2 linked regions of the Lepisosteus oculatus genome follow. The protein of the gene in region 1 binds, or shares a complex with, the protein of each later gene. Links are inferred from orthologs where the notes say so. Each region holds a gene or a part of one and is shown in the gene's direction. Other genes may lie near its edges.

What was found.
Region 2: the proteins of gpr161b (region 1) and guanine nucleotide-binding protein G(olf) subunit alpha are in contact, whole or in part, in a cryo-EM structure (PDB 8KH4), measured with the Homo sapiens proteins. The link is inferred for Lepisosteus oculatus from reciprocal best matches to the Homo sapiens genes GPR161 and GNAL. Residues at the interface, in NP_001254539.1 of Homo sapiens: Arg125, Ala128, Val129, Leu130, Pro132, Met133, Tyr135, Pro136, Met137, Ile139, Ile211, Val214, Ala215, Lys218, Ala219, Lys267, Ala268, Thr271, Trp327, Asn328, Lys329, Arg332; in NP_001135811.1 of Homo sapiens: Ala41, His43, Lys203, Val204, Phe206, Phe363, Cys366, Arg367, Asp368, Ile370, Gln371, Arg372, His374, Leu375, Gln377, Tyr378, Glu379, Leu380, Leu381.

What each region holds. Positions count from the first base shown.
Region 1 is NC_090710.1:23,450,398-23,458,168, reverse strand, and holds the start of gpr161b (G-protein coupled receptor 161), read left to right. Parts: upstream 1-4,760; 5' UTR 4,761-5,354; intron 5,355-7,587; 5' UTR 7,588-7,631; coding exon 7,632-7,771. UniProt on the Homo sapiens protein: Key negative regulator of Shh signaling, which promotes the processing of GLI3 into GLI3R during neural tube development.
Region 2 is NC_090701.1:57,018,078-57,025,499, forward strand, and holds the start of guanine nucleotide-binding protein G(olf) subunit alpha, read left to right. Parts: upstream 1-4,411; 5' UTR 4,412-4,691; coding exon 4,692-5,133; intron 5,134-7,422. UniProt on the Homo sapiens protein: Guanine nucleotide-binding protein (G protein) involved as transducer in olfactory signal transduction controlled by G protein-coupled receptors (GPCRs).

The sequences.
Region 1 (7,771 bases):
AATAAAGTAAAAAAGAGGTTGTGTACAGTCAGTCCTGTTTTTTTTTTCCCTGCAGCTTTTGTTTGGGCTGTCTGTATGAGTTAGGCCTTTAAATGGGATAATGATGAATACCACAGCAATTTGCACTTAAAATATCCCTACATAGCATTGATAGCCCAATATATACAAGAAGTTTGTGAAATACAGTGACCTGCAGGTCTGATAGGACATGATTAAGGTATTTACAGTGTATATTTATTACTAATGAAATGCATGTAGCAGACCTACCATAATTTTACTTAAAAGGAACTAATGTACTGCTTCAAAGGGTCGTATTGATAAGAACTACTGTGAAATGCAATTTGTATTGTCTAATTGTACTGTGTACACATTTTATTTTAAAACATGTTTTATTGTAAATTATTCAGAACCATACTTTTTTTATTAGCATCCAGGTTGCTCTGTATGTTGCTTTACATTCTTTAAATACAGATACTGTATACTTTAAAAATATGCTCTTTCACCATGTCATTTGCCAAGTTTTATGCATTGGACTTTATTTTTATGTTTGTTTTAATGTATTAAACTTCAATGTTTTAATTCACAGATATTTTTAGATTTAATTTTGCTGTAAATGTGCTTTTCCCAATACCTTCCCCTATGACTTAAGCAATTAAAAGAACTGACTATATATAGTACCTTTCTGCCTTTTATTGGTTGTTTTTATTTTTATTTGGTCACCTATAACTGTGAACTCACTATCACAAAAACAACAAAAAACTATTTGGATGGAAAAAACACATTTGAGAAAAGAATCATAAAACAGTGACTGAAAAAGAAAGCAGCAGCATTTCAAAATCCAAAAATGCAGCATAATACTTTTCTACATGATGTTAAAAATATTAACTTTTTGTGCCTGTGAATATATTTCTTGTTCACAAGTGTAAGCTTCCAGTTCACTAAGTTTCACAATCTCTTCCTGCATTTGTGCAGATGAAAGGGGTTGCCTTCCATACCTTGAACTGATGGAGGTGTTTGAAGTCATTTTTGCCATACCCTGCAAATGGAAACTGATGTCTCAAAAGTGAAAAATATGTGAACAAAAACTAAAGTTGCATTACTTAAACAGTAAATCATTGTATTCTGCATAATCATGCTACTTGCTGTTTAATTTAAAGACCACTACTTTGCTAAGATATTGCATAAATACTATAATTCCTCAGCAATTATAGCTGTAAAACAAAAAGATCTGTAGTCTGTCTTTTAAGACAAAACAAAAAGTCATAGAATTGTCTATTCGCATCTTACTGAAAAGAAAATTACCAAGGTTTAAAAATGTATTAATTTTATAAATAAAAGAAGAGCAGAATGAAGGGAAGAGAGTTATAGAACTAGCTAACTGTCAAGTTAAAATAAATACAAAAAAGGAAAGAAAGTTGCAAATTAAGGGGTAATTGTAATGTAAAATCAATTTTACCTTTCTGACATGTAAGCTGAGATTAATGAAAATATGTCTTTTAATTACCATTCTCGGTCACATCTTCAAAAAAATTATCATTGGGATGAACAAGAAATATCAGAAATGTTAACAAGAGGCGTTTAGTTCATAATTATCTACTGTAGTTTGTCCTCATTGATTTCAGGGTATTGGTTTATGATCCTCATGAAAATGTCTTAAAAAATATGAAATTATCATCTAAACTGTGGTCTAGTTTTCCCGATACGTTTGTACATATTGTTTCTCTGGAGAATCACATTTTTACCTTCCACCTTCGGGATATACTTCCTTCTTTTCCAAGTACATTCTGGGCCCTTGTGAGTCCATAGTTTTGTCGTCATTTCTCACTTCAAGGCCCCTTCTTCCAGGTAAGAGAGATTTTATTTAATTTTACAAAGACGATGCAGTATTTATAGCTTACAGATGTTTGTAAATAATAACCCAGGGCACTATCGTACATAACAGGAAAACTAACTGAAATTACCCAAATGTAAGACATTATATCATATTACAACATGCTGTGGTCTTTATTTAGACTTAGGCTCACCGATCACAACACGTGCAGTCAAATGGAGTGGCTGCAATGGAGAGAGATATACTGTTGTTTTCAAGGTCGGAGTAGCTGATGAAATCTACCAGCTCTGCCTGGACAGGTAGGTTTTGAGGAGAAATTGGCATCTGATGAAAGAAGAGAAAGACAAGAAAAAAGTAGTTAAATTTCACACAGGCTGGAAGAATGTACATTTTAAACATTAAAAAGGTTGGTGGTTAACACGAAAAGGCAACAATGTGTTCAGTTTACATCACCACAATTTAAGAAATACACTGTTGCTCCATCGTATGAGGGAGAGCAGCCAGACTGAGACTAATTCCTGAACTGAGAGCAATGTCTTCCTAACACAAAAGAAAGGAAATGAATCTCTTAACCATGGAAGGAGTCAACATGCTGCTTTGATGGAGGTATTCAAAAGCCCTGAAAAGCATTGATCATATCAATCTACGAAATAAACAAAGACTGAAGACTCTTGTTAATCAGGTTATGGGACATTCAGAACATAAATAGAAGATGCTCCTTTATTAAGAGAATCATAGCTGACAGTGCAAACAGTGTGAAGAAACCACTTGATATATATTTAGTTTCCGCACATTTGGGAGATCTGTTCCTCTACTGTGTGGCAATTTATCATTTCTCAGGTATGTTTTGTTCCAAATGTCCATTTTCCATGGAGTAGCTTGCTGTTTTTAAGTATCACTAATAACAGGGTAACACTATAAATGGTAGGCTAGAACATAAGCATCTTGACTTCTCTAGAGCTAGATGTTTACAATTTAAGAATCCGTAAGAAACATGACTTTATTTCAGGAGACCTGTGACAAATATGCTGATGTCCATACATTTTAAAATGATTACCATAAAGCCATTTATCATTCTAACATGCTGAAATAAACAAGAGGTTCCAGTCACAGTTGCTAGGAGGATAAATGTTACTCAGTTTTCGGACCCTTGCACAACTTTCTACATTTTGTGCCTCTAAAGCATGACTCTTGTAAAAAGCAGTTACACTTCATGTGAACATGGCAAGGATATTTCCTAAGGATACTCTTTGTGGGACTGCCACTTGGTGGAGTTCTTTGCTAGCTTTTGTGTTACTAAGGAACAAGTAATAGGTTTATTCCGTGCTGAAATGAGAAGAGAGGAAACAGCGTTTTGGCTGTGAAGCCTTCTTCAGGTGTGAGAGCCACACACTGACACGTTTTGTGTTACTACAGTATGTGATTAAAAAGAACCATTAATGAAAGAACTAAAATCATTTGATAAAGGAAGACTCATTTCAAATTGAAATGGTATTATTTTTCTAAAATCCATCCATCCATTCAGCCATTTTCTAACTGCTTCACAACCACTTAAGGGTTGCGGGGGAAGCTGGAGCCTGTCCCGGCAAGTAATTGCCCATGTGTCTGTGTGGTGGTGGTCAGTGCTGCTGCTTTGCAGTGCTGGGCCCCTGAGGGCAGTCCTGGACCTGGGGTGCTGTCTATGTAGAGTTCTCCCTGAGTTCACATGGTCTTCCCCCAGGTGCTCCGGTTCCCTGTCACTGTCCAAAAACATACTGGCAGGTTCATTGCCTTCTGGGAAAATTGGCCCTGGTATGAGTGTGTGTGTGTGTGTGCCCTGCGGTGGACTGGTGTCCTGTCCAGGATGTACCTTGCTTTGTAAGTGTTACTTGCTGGGATAGGTTCTGGCTCCCTCACAACCCTACAATAGGTGAAGCAGTTAGGAATTGGGTGAAAACATACATTTCTGATTAATTAAATAAAGATTCTGGTACTAAGTAAAAGCTGGCCTGGTCTTTGAGGGCTGATGGGTAGTCTAATTCTTGGTCCGAATGATCCCTCAATTATCTCATAAATCAAAACATAGGTGTAATTCATCAAAGTGTTCCAGGACTTTACAAACCGATTATTTAATGGATATACACAAAACTCACTGGACCAAAGTTCTTCAGAACGATGTCTGGAAACTTCCACTGAAGACCTTCTCCGTGCTGCTTTTCGGCTCCTTTTTTATTAAAACACTTAAAAATGTAAAAATTAGCAAGGACCTGCATCTCTCCTGAAGAAATTAACCTTGCTTCTACAACAACCAGATCGTCCATCCACATTTATTGCTTTTATTAACGTTTAGAACAACTGTGATTGCTGTGGGCAGCAAAAATACCAAAACCAAACATGACTTTATAAAGTGGTGTGTCTTAAATATATTATCATTAACTTAGGTTTGTTTTTGTGTGTGTGCATAAAGAAATAAATCGGTGACACGTTGAAAACAAGAAATGTGATTGTCTTTGCTTCTACTGAGAAGTAACTGTTTATTATATAACTGCTTATAGGATACCTGTAAATTCAGCTAAGGCTTTCCCTATTATTACAATTCATTTAAAAAATCTGAAACGGCAATTTCGTCGTCTGCCTCCACCATTTTAAAACCAGGTTTGCTCTTGCGATATGGTCAGGTTTTCAGCACGCCACATATCACTTTTCCGGCTTAAGCGAAAATGCTACACAAATGTAGTTTTTGGTACGTTCGTGGACTACCAAAGAAACCCCTTTGGTTGAAAATCGGGTATTGTCAATTTTCGATGATGACCAGTCCCCACCAAATTTTGTCTCCTATGTCAATGGCGACTTCCATTGCGGCTTCAGCGCCCTCAAGCTTGATAGGCTAAAATCGCCCCATATGATGAGAGTGAATAACGCTGCGGGAATGTTTGATCTTCCTTGGTGGTCCAAGGTGCTGAAAGAACTCGGGGTTGGTGTTTAGCAGCCAAACGTTAGGTTTTTGTTAAAAAAATCGAGGTGCACATGCATGTATGCCCCTAATTACACACCCTCGATAAACATTACTTGCACTCGAATGCAATGAGAAAAAACGACTTGAATGTAAGATATCAAAGGGAAAAGTTGAGTTTCGGAATTTAAGTGCAAGCGAAAAGGGGAGAAAAAAAAATTAAACCCCATTTTAAACCGTAGATTGCAGGTAACTATAGCTTGCGTCGGGCTAAGGGTTTTTTTAAGAGGTGAGCTGGAGTTGAGGCGGCGGCTAGTGCCGGGCCAGACCACCCACAAACTGAACCAGTGCGGTGGGGAACTAGCCTAGATGGGAGTGAGAGAAGTACGGAGTCGGAGAAAGAGAGGCGGACGCCATTGCAGCCGCGAACTGCCCTTCTGGATTTCAATCAGCTGATTTAAGAAAAGCAAAGGATCTGGCAATGAGGGAGAATAAAGTTCCTCTCCCGATACCACGAAAACACGCGGAGTGAGGGTTGTTTGCATCGGATTTGCAGAAAGGATGCGAGTTCGCTACAGCCAGACTGAAACGGTGAGAAAAAAACTTTTCAGGGGGGATTCGAGGAGGCTGTGTATTGTGTAGAGCAGACAAAGGCAAAGCTGCAGGACCTTCTCGTGGCTAAAAACCTAGTGCAGAAAAGATTTTGCAGCCGATTCAAAGACATCGTGTCTATATGAGGTTAATAATGGGTGAATTTTGGTTTTCGATTGGAACCAAGCTCCGTATGAACAGTATGGGCAAGTTTTTTTCTGCTGCTGAGGTTTTAGATATTTTTACTTTTTGAACGTCTTTCGGTGAGAACGTTTATTATACAAAAACGAAAACCGGTCATAAATTAAATTTGCGCACTGAAGTCGTTTTCATTAATTCACGGAACAGAACGGAGACGATACAGAAGAGTGCCGTCTTGTGATTACATTTACAACTGTGATTACAGTGCTTTTACCTATTACTAAGTACAAATGCATACGATTTAAAGGCAAAGGCAATCTTCTGCCAGGCTCTGTCGGTTTTAAAAAAGACTGGCTCGCTTTATTACCGTTTGGTTTGGTTAGAGAGGAAGCGAGTGGCTAGACTTGAGGAAATCCCCAGGCCAATTCGAGGAATGAAGCAGATGTTTTCAGGGAGTCTTGTGAGTAAAAATAGACGTAACTCCAAATATATAAGTGGGAGATAATTCTGAGAAAGACATTAGAGTGGATGTTCCATCCACTGACCTACTTTAACGTTCCCATTTTCCCAAAACTTCTAATGATTACTCACTGTTTCCTTGTGTTGAGGATATAAGAAATCATTTTGCATTTTTCGTAAAATGAGCCGAACCATGAGGAGCAGTTGTAGTTTCTACCGGTGCCTTGATTTTGTAGAGTGCACCCAATACATTTTTGAGGGGCGTATAAAGAGCTCTTTTGTACAAAATCGCCCAGTCGGCGATGTTTATGTTGTTCTTTTCATGATATAAGACAGAATGGTTTGTAATTCTTCTTTATTAAATCGGTTTTGTTGATCTGCTTTAGCTCTTAGAATTCACAAATTAAACTGCTTCTTCATAAATTTGCTTACTTTCCCTGTATTATCAAAATAATTATTTCAATTTAGAAACACGAAACACGTTGACGCTGATAATTCTATAAATCTTCAAATGTTATTGTAAACTTGAAATGTTATTGCAATAGCGTTATCCCTTGAGGTTGCCGGATTAGGAGACGCTATTTTTTAAAGACTATTTTGCAGTCCAGAGTAGTTCGATGTGCTCCAGTTTTAACGTTGATGAAAATAACATAACCTATCACTCTAGGAGACGTGGAATTTAATCGCATTACAATGTCATAATTTTGGCAAACCAAATAACGACAACAGTTGTGTATGGTGGATGTGGTGTTTTGCGATTTCTGCTATAGTGGAACCGAGCACAAAGAGATAAAATAAGATCTTATCAGATAGTGCACAAATATGAAATGAACCATTGCTGCACTGATTTTAGTAATTTCGTCTTTTAAGCAGCATGAGCTTTCAATACTAGCGAGGTTATAGTTTCAGTTTCTACTAACATTAATAAGTCTAAATTCATAAAAACACTGAATAAGGTGTGCTCTTTGCTGTGCATCAAGAACAACAGTACGTGATTTGTGTTATGGCTCTGAAGTTCCTTCGGCCCAGTCAGATCCCCATTTGCCTTTGGGATGTAGCCTATTATTACTGTCCTAATCAGTGCTTGGGACGCAGTAATATGCAACTGCTGCATTCAAAGATAAATAACACCGTTTATTGCAAAACGCTCGACTTTTAGTTCTTGCGAGAGAAATGAGAGACTAAAGTCCTCGGTTGCCAGCAAAAAGAAAAAGGCTTTTGTGTTGTTGTTTTTTTTTTTGTTGACCGGATTCTATGTACTACTTACAAAATAAGTTATTTTAGGGTTATTGTCTGGATAAACCACTTTCATTTAATCGATTAAATTAGACGTGTTGGCAAGTGATTTGTTCTAACGTTTTTAAACAAGGTGTGCATGAAGTGTAACGAATATGTTGTGGAAAAATTGCAGGGCCTGTTTACTGTTGACCAGTCACGCTGCTGGTATTTTTTGCCATTGTTGTAGTTCTATTAACATTTTGCAGGTCTCATTTGGACTCCCGTTTCCTGAAATAGATGAGGCCCTTCAGTGTAAATACAGAACACAACTGAGTTAAACAACCATTAATCTCTGTCACACCTGGGGTTGGTCTCACATCATGTTGGCCTAAGGTTTTGAATATTCTTCTGGCAGTTACCAAGGATGTCTCCCCCTGCACGGTGTGCCAGTCTCCCACAATGAACAGCAGCAGCAATGGGGCGCACCCACAGAATGTCTCGGCTTTGGAGGGTGGTGGGGCCATGGTCGCAGAGTCCTTCCTCATCATCGCCATCACCCTGCTCGTGTTCCTGGGAAACCTACTGATTGTGGTGACGCT
Region 2 (7,422 bases), on another chromosome or scaffold:
ATTCACAACATTACAGTACTATCAAAATTCACCTACAGGGCTTGTTTCCATTTCTATGATATCAAGACTTTTAACTGTTAAAATACAGCATTGTGAAGACGTAAGCATAGTAGTCCACTGAAGCTCTTAATTCACAAGTAATTATTGTTACCCAAAGTGTCTGACATTAGTACCCATTTTTGCAGCCGGCTGTTTTACTGGCCCGCTCCCAGTGAACAATGGCCCACTCCCAGTGAACAATGGCCCGCTCCCAGTGAAGAATGGCCCACTCCCAGTGAACAATGGCCCACTCCCAGTGAACAATGGCCCGCTCCCAGTGAAGTACCTGGCTCTCGGGCTCAGTCCACATGGGACCAAATCCCACAGCTTTGAGTTGCAAGTCCAGAGCCCAGATCACTCCTCCGCAGTGTCGCTCCAGCTGGCAGGGGGATTTGCTTTATTAACAACTTAAGAGTTTTAATTAATTCATATTGAATATTGTACTTAGTACTTAGAATTGTAATTTATTCTCTTTCTTGTTAAAAATATGTCCATGAAGTAAAAGCCCTTTTCACATGATTAATTATGATAAGGGTGTGATAATGAGACAGGTAGCTAGTGGTCTTTAGTAAGCACTAAAGCTGCTTGGTTATCTATATGTACAAAGGTTGGCTGCCATAAATATACAGTATGGGAATTTACACAAGTATTCTGGTCGCATTACAGCAATTGTATCATTTTAAAGTACAGAAACATAAACTAGAATGAGGAAAATGACAGAAAAGCTATTGAGAATTTTTTTCACATTAACATTTTAAAGCTGAAAAATAAGAACAAGATAAATTACGTTGATCTTTGTTGATAAATCATATATGCATTGTTAAAATCACGTTTAATTACCATCTTCCTTACTTGTACTCTTAGACCTAAAACAGCAGTAGTAATGGTAGAAACATTATGTTCATAAGGAACAAGTAATAGGTTTATTCCATGCTGAAAAAAAGAAGAAAGAGAACACAACGTTTCGGCCGTGGAGCCTTCTTCAGGTGTGTGAAGGTCTTCACACCTGAAGAAGGCTCCACGGCCGAAACGTTGTGTTCTCTTTCTTCTTTTTTTCAGCATGGAATAAACCTATTACTTGTTCCTTTGCAGCCTACGCATGCTGACGCAGCTACCCACCTGAACTACATTATGTTCATATCCTGTATTGATATTAATCTACAATTTCAAGCCAAATCTGGATTCAAAGTATTCATATCCTTTCCATTTACCCAATGGTGTTCCATTTTGTGAAATTAAAAATGTCTATGCATCCGTTTGTTTTAAAATTAATATTCAATTCAAAATCTGAATATCAGCAATATCAGTAAATATCAGCAACATTTAATGGAAAAAATAAAATGTGCACGTATCTACAGTATATTTAAAACTGTGAACACAATATTTGTTGGAAGCACCTTTTTGTAACACTAGCAGTCAGAAGTCTTTTTGGGTAGGTCTCTACTGACAGCGCACGAAGACTTGGTGCCGTTTGTGCCCATTCTTCTAGACGGATTTGCTCGAGCTCTCTCAAGTTGCTTTGGGATTGCTTATTAACAGCAGCTTTCAGGGCTTTGCACAAATCCTCAATAGGATTCCAGTCAGGAGTCAGGGCCACTCAAAGACAGTCTCTTTCTCATTCTTGAGACAGTTTACTGTAGCTGTGGCCTTGTGCTTGGTGCATTTTCCTAAGCAGCATGAAAAAAAAGTTTTCCCCAAAGTATTTCCCCGTGCTTTGCTCGACCAATGTTTCCTTCCATTCTAACAAGCTTTCCAGTCCCTAATGAGAACTATGCCCATGGCAGGATGCTGCCACCACCATGCTTGACTGTAGGGATGGTGTTGACTGGGAGATGTGGTCCGCTGGGTCTGTTCCAACCACAGAGTGAGGGGATAGATCAAAAATCCCAGCTACAGTAGGTCTCACCTGATCCCAGCACCTTGTGCCACATTTTTGCTGGATCCCTCGGATTCTTTATTGAAAAGCCCAATGCGGGCTCTGAGATTGTTTCTGGTAACGGTTTTCTTCTGTCCACCCTGCCACGCGGGCCTGCTCTGTGAAGGGACCGGGGGGTTACGCAGTCTTGGACATTTTCTCCCATCTCGGCGATTGAACGCCGAAGATGTTGTTACTTAACAGCTGCATTCCTCACGAGTTTCCCCCTTGCCCAGCTGCTCAGTGGGTGAGTGTTGGGTTCTTGATGACTGAGTAAACTGTGCTCAGTGAGATGTTCAGAGACTTCAGGATTTTGTTGTACTCTTCTGCTGGTCTGTATCTTTCAATAACTTTATCCCTGGCTTTGAAAACTCCTTAGTCTTTAATATCGTGTCTTTGCCCTGCCTGGCTGAGGGACATTACCTGGGGTAGACATGTATTTGTTCTGTTATCATGTGAAACACTATGCCTGCACACAGACAGAGACCATTCAACTGAATGTGTGGTGTATTCAGGTAATTCTGTAAATGTAAGGATTTGAATACTTACGCAGTCACAGTTTTTCCTATTTTCCATCATATTAATTACCTTTTTACTTTTATATTTTTGTTTTTGCTTTTGAAGTATGGAGCAGGTTGTGTATGCAGTTTAATAAACATAAATTGCTATTTCAAAGTGCCATGACTGGAAGCAACAATGTGTCTGAGTGCTTTACAAAGGCACTGTATGCAAAATATTGCACTGTAAAAATACTTCTAGACCATTTCTAGGTGCGTGTCAACTGAGTGGTCTTCTTGCCAGAACCTATATTTAGGAAAAGATAAAACTTGTGGAATACAGAAATAGGTGTTGTCAAACATCCAGGGAGCCCCAAGTGCATTATAAAGCACGTACCAGGCTTTCTTCAGTCGGTTTTAAAATATTTTATGGTATTGCTTAGTATCGAAAGGATTCCAAACAAGAGGGGCTGATGGGCCCGTTCAGATCATCTCACTTAAAGGCTCACTCCGTGCTGAAAGGCAAAGAGAAGAAGCTGACCAGTGAGGCTATGGAGCACCCTTAACTGTGCCCCTGCTGACACAGCCCCCTGCTCCCGCTGTCTCACCCGAGACTCGTCTCTCAGGGGGCACTTCCTGCTCAGCTCCTCGTGCCACAACGCGAAGTGCCTTTTTTTCTCTTCTGAAACTCGATGGCTTGTTTCATCTCCCATTTCAACTCTTTTTTTTTACCAGGCCCTGTGGAAATCTGACCCCCTAAGGAACTTGGAGATTCTTCCCGGCTTTTAGAAATAAAACAAATACAAGAAGGCCGTGGGTGATTGATCGATCTGGGCAGGAAACCTATAACATCCAGCAGACGTATTGGTAGATAATTCATGCTAAATAAAAAAGCAAAGGGGTTATAAAAATATACAGCATCTTAAATCAGTTAGCAGCTGGCTCAGAGTCAGTTCAGGTAGGAAGCTCCGTCAGCATGTGCTGGCTGCAAGGAACAAGTAAAGGTTTATTCCCTGCTGAAAAGAGAAGAAAGAAAATACAACGTTTCGGCCGTGGAGCCTTCTTCAGGTGTGAGAGAGACAAGGCAGGAAGCAAAGGTAAAGTAGCGGGAGAACAAAGGTTGGGAGAGAGGAGGAGCGAGGGGCGGGAGCAGGGGACAGAAAGAGAGGCCAATCAAGAGGTGTGAAGTCAGAATAGGTGTAGAGAGGTGTGAAATGAAACATACAATGAATAGAGAGAATTGAGAAGAAAATTAGTCTTCTGTTGAGAGAAGGGGAAAGCTGTGATCCTAGCTGCAGGATAATTTGAGTTTCTGTAGTCTTTCTGATGTAGGAGTTAGGAAAACCTTTGAGAACACAGTCAGAGAGATTAGTGTGATCATGGCCGTCAAAAGTGAAATGAGAAACAATGGGCTTGGAGAGATCTTAATCTTTAATCTTAACATCCTGGGGATAGGAAGTGTGTTAAAGGAATGCAGTTGTTATGGCGGGAGTTCCTGCTCGAGTTGATGGTCCGAGGGGTGTTTTTGGCTCGTTCTTTCTAGGAATAACTTCAAAAAACAGCATGAAATAAACCTTTGCTTGTTCCTTTTCATGCTTTTACAACAGTGCACCTGTACATCTGTGCTGATGTTAACCAAGAGCCAGATTCTTGTGACTCATATTGATCATACAATATACTTGTTTACTATCTGAATGTAATGTTGCAAAGTACAGGCTCTATACTGCTTTCACTTCTGATTTGAAAAAGTTTTCACATCTATTTATGTTTAAATAAGCCCGACAGCCTGAATTTTAATCATCTCTGTCCTTGGTGGGGGTGGTGGCTGGGGGGGAGAGAGGTGGAGGAGGTATTTCTAACTCGCCATTACCGCAATCACTGATGGTTTGCTTTTGAGTGGAGGCGCTTTTGGTTTAATTACGGTAAGGTGGACCAGCAGTGTCCACTGAGCGATCAGGTGATCCACCACCAACTACGGAACACAAGCTGACTGACTAGAGAAAATGAAACATGGCATATAGCAAATGTGAGGGCATAATTTACTCACCTTTTCGACCCAGATTCGGATTTAAATCGTATTTTTGGAGCTACAGCGTGACAATGAATCGCTAAACTCCGCGCTGGGATTGTCGGCTTAACAACAACAACAGAAAGAGGATTTTTTTTTTTACATTTTATTTTTGTATAAATTGGGGGGGGGGAGAAAAACCTCATTAGAGGGGAGGGGGGGGTGGGCAACCATGGGGTTGTGTTACAGCCTGCGTCCGCGTCTTTTCGGGGAGCCCAGTGGGTCCATCTCTAACGCCACTACCTCGGACTCGGACCCGCCGCCCGACTCCACCGCGCCGCTCCGCGCCGGGGACCTGCGACACGGGGACGCGGGGGGATACGGCGAGACGGCGCCGCTCCGCCGGGGGGACGCCGGCAAGCTGTCGGCTGGGGACACGGGCACCGACGGGGTGGTGGTGGTGCAGAATGGAGGCGGCGGAGGAGCGGAGCGCAGCCGGCAGCTCCAGCTGCTGCACAAGCACAGCACGCAGAAGCAGCAGAAAGGCTGGGACAGGCTGCGGGTGGAGGAGAAGGAGGCCGAGAAGGAAGCCAAAAAAGTCAGTAAAAGCATTGACAGAGCTCTGAAGGAGCAGAAACGGGAATATAAGCAGACCCACCGGCTGCTTTTACTGGGTAGGTGTGATCCACAATTTTTTTTAACAGCTGTAGCCTGTCACTGTGACCCCCCACTGTGTATTGTCAAGAATTGCACGATACAGTTGTATATACTGCTGTGTATATTCCCAATGATGAATAATACCTAGAATTTCATTTACTCGCTGCTGGAGAGAAAAATATCCCCCACCCACCCACCCATTTGAACGGCAAGGGTTTTACTGAAAGATTGTTTTCCTCCCTGGGTTCAAGTAATAATAGAGCCGTGAAATGTCATTCGAGAAAAGACTGTCCCACCATTGTCCGACCAGGCGCTGATGCTGGTGTCAGCGGCTTTTCTTATTTTTTACAAATTGAAGTAGAATAATTTTAGTAAAAAACAAAACAAAACGCAGATATTAAAAAAAAAACCCTCCATACTCTATAAATAAAACACGCGATGATAACACTTTCAAATAAACAGTATTCGGCGTTACAGCGGTTTTGACCGCGTATCTTGGGGCCCTCGTTTGACATTGGAGCACTATATCTCGTTAGCTTTTCCTGCGCACACAAGCATTTTCAAAACGATTGTCCTTTTTAAGAAGATTTTTGATAGCGAAAGACGATTTTTAGGAGAGAGAGAGAAAAAAAAACACGTCGTTGCCATGCGTAATTGGGGCCGGTTTTGCGGATAGTGGGAGCAGGGGTGTCCACCGAGAGGCACTGGGCAGCAGCGGACCACTCCTGTAGTAAAAACCTGCGTTGGAGTTCAGGCCTCTTTATGGACACGGTATAAAATCTGGGACATTTCCCACACAGCTCCGTTAACGTGGCCGGTTTTCTTGAGCCTTAACCCCTGATTTGCCTTGGGACGGATTTTCTGAGGCGCATAACGCCTCCCAGACCTTCAGTCCACCTGCCCTGCTTTCATCTGGGCTAGTCTCTCTGTTGGCCGGCTGGACACGGCACGCCCAGGTGGCCGGAGGTCTAACTGGAAATCCCTCTAACAGTGGTACTGTAAGCCCCCCCTGAAATCCTGTAATGGAATAGATTGAGATTTGATTACCCCTTCCGGTAAGCTTCTCTTACACTTACAATAAATTAAACGAGACATCCTGGCGATAAACCTGCAAGAACTGCAGAACTGACTCTTTGTCCTATTTTTTTTTTTTTTGTGGGTTTAAGAATAATTTCAGTATTCTTGGTATTAGACTTGCTTGTACTGTACTGTATGTGTGTGTGAGAGTCAGGGGGACAAAGTTCTCTTCTCATTGGTAGTAAGCATAAGTGTACTTGTAGATAAGTGTGCATATTTACCCCAAGAATTTCAAGGATTAATTCAAGTGCCCAGGCCAAAACCAAGAGTGTCTGGGGCACTTCAGAGGGTCAAGAAAAAATAGAAGTAACATTGAACAGAGAGAAAGATGGGGAAAGAAAGAGAAAAATGCAAACAGTAATTGGAGAAAAGAGGAGGAAAGCGTCTTTAGTCTAGATTTAGAAAGTGAACGAAAGGACATTTCTCAGATGGGCAGGGAACTGGTGGTGAGCCCCAAGAGGGTTGTACCTGTAAGAAGGTACTAGTAAACCGTGCACCTCAGCAGAGCCTTAGGTCCTGCCTGGGACATCCGGAGTATTTGGAGATGCTTATGAGGAAGTGGTGAGTGGGGCTTTAAAAGTAAAGAGGACAGTTTTGAACTGAGTGCGCTGGGCAATGGGGAGCCAGTGACGACGTGTCAGAAATTGGGGTGACGTGGTCACGGAGCCCTGAATGTGTTCGACGCCGAGCGGCTGAAGCTTGTTTTCAGGAAGTGGGGAGACCACTGTAAAGGCCGCTGCAGTAACCCAGTCGAGATGGCATGAAGGCATGAATCAGGGTTTCTACGGCAGTGTGATCAAGGAAGGACTTAACGTGGACAATGTCCCTGAGGAGAAACTAAGGGACATTACGGATGGCTTTTATTTGTCTGTCGAAACAGAGCTCAGGATCAAACATGATCCTGGTTTCTCATAGTAGGTCATAATCTGAGCCCCGTTTCCAAGTTGTAGGGATTAAGTTCTCTGTCCAAGAGAAGTGGATATGCATTTATCACACATTTCTGTAACAACGGCAGGAGAATTTGAAGTTCCTGAAGCCGTACGCAGAAGATACATGCCTTGACTCAAATGCAACAAACTCCACAAACTGGAGGTTCTTCTTAAAGCGAAGGACTGTGCTTTGCTATGTGGTCTTGAGTTTTTTTTACTCATCCAGACCTGCTGTAGGAGAGATCCATTAAGATCTAGTCACTAGGCGCCATGACTCACAGCCGTTATTCAGTGCTGGGA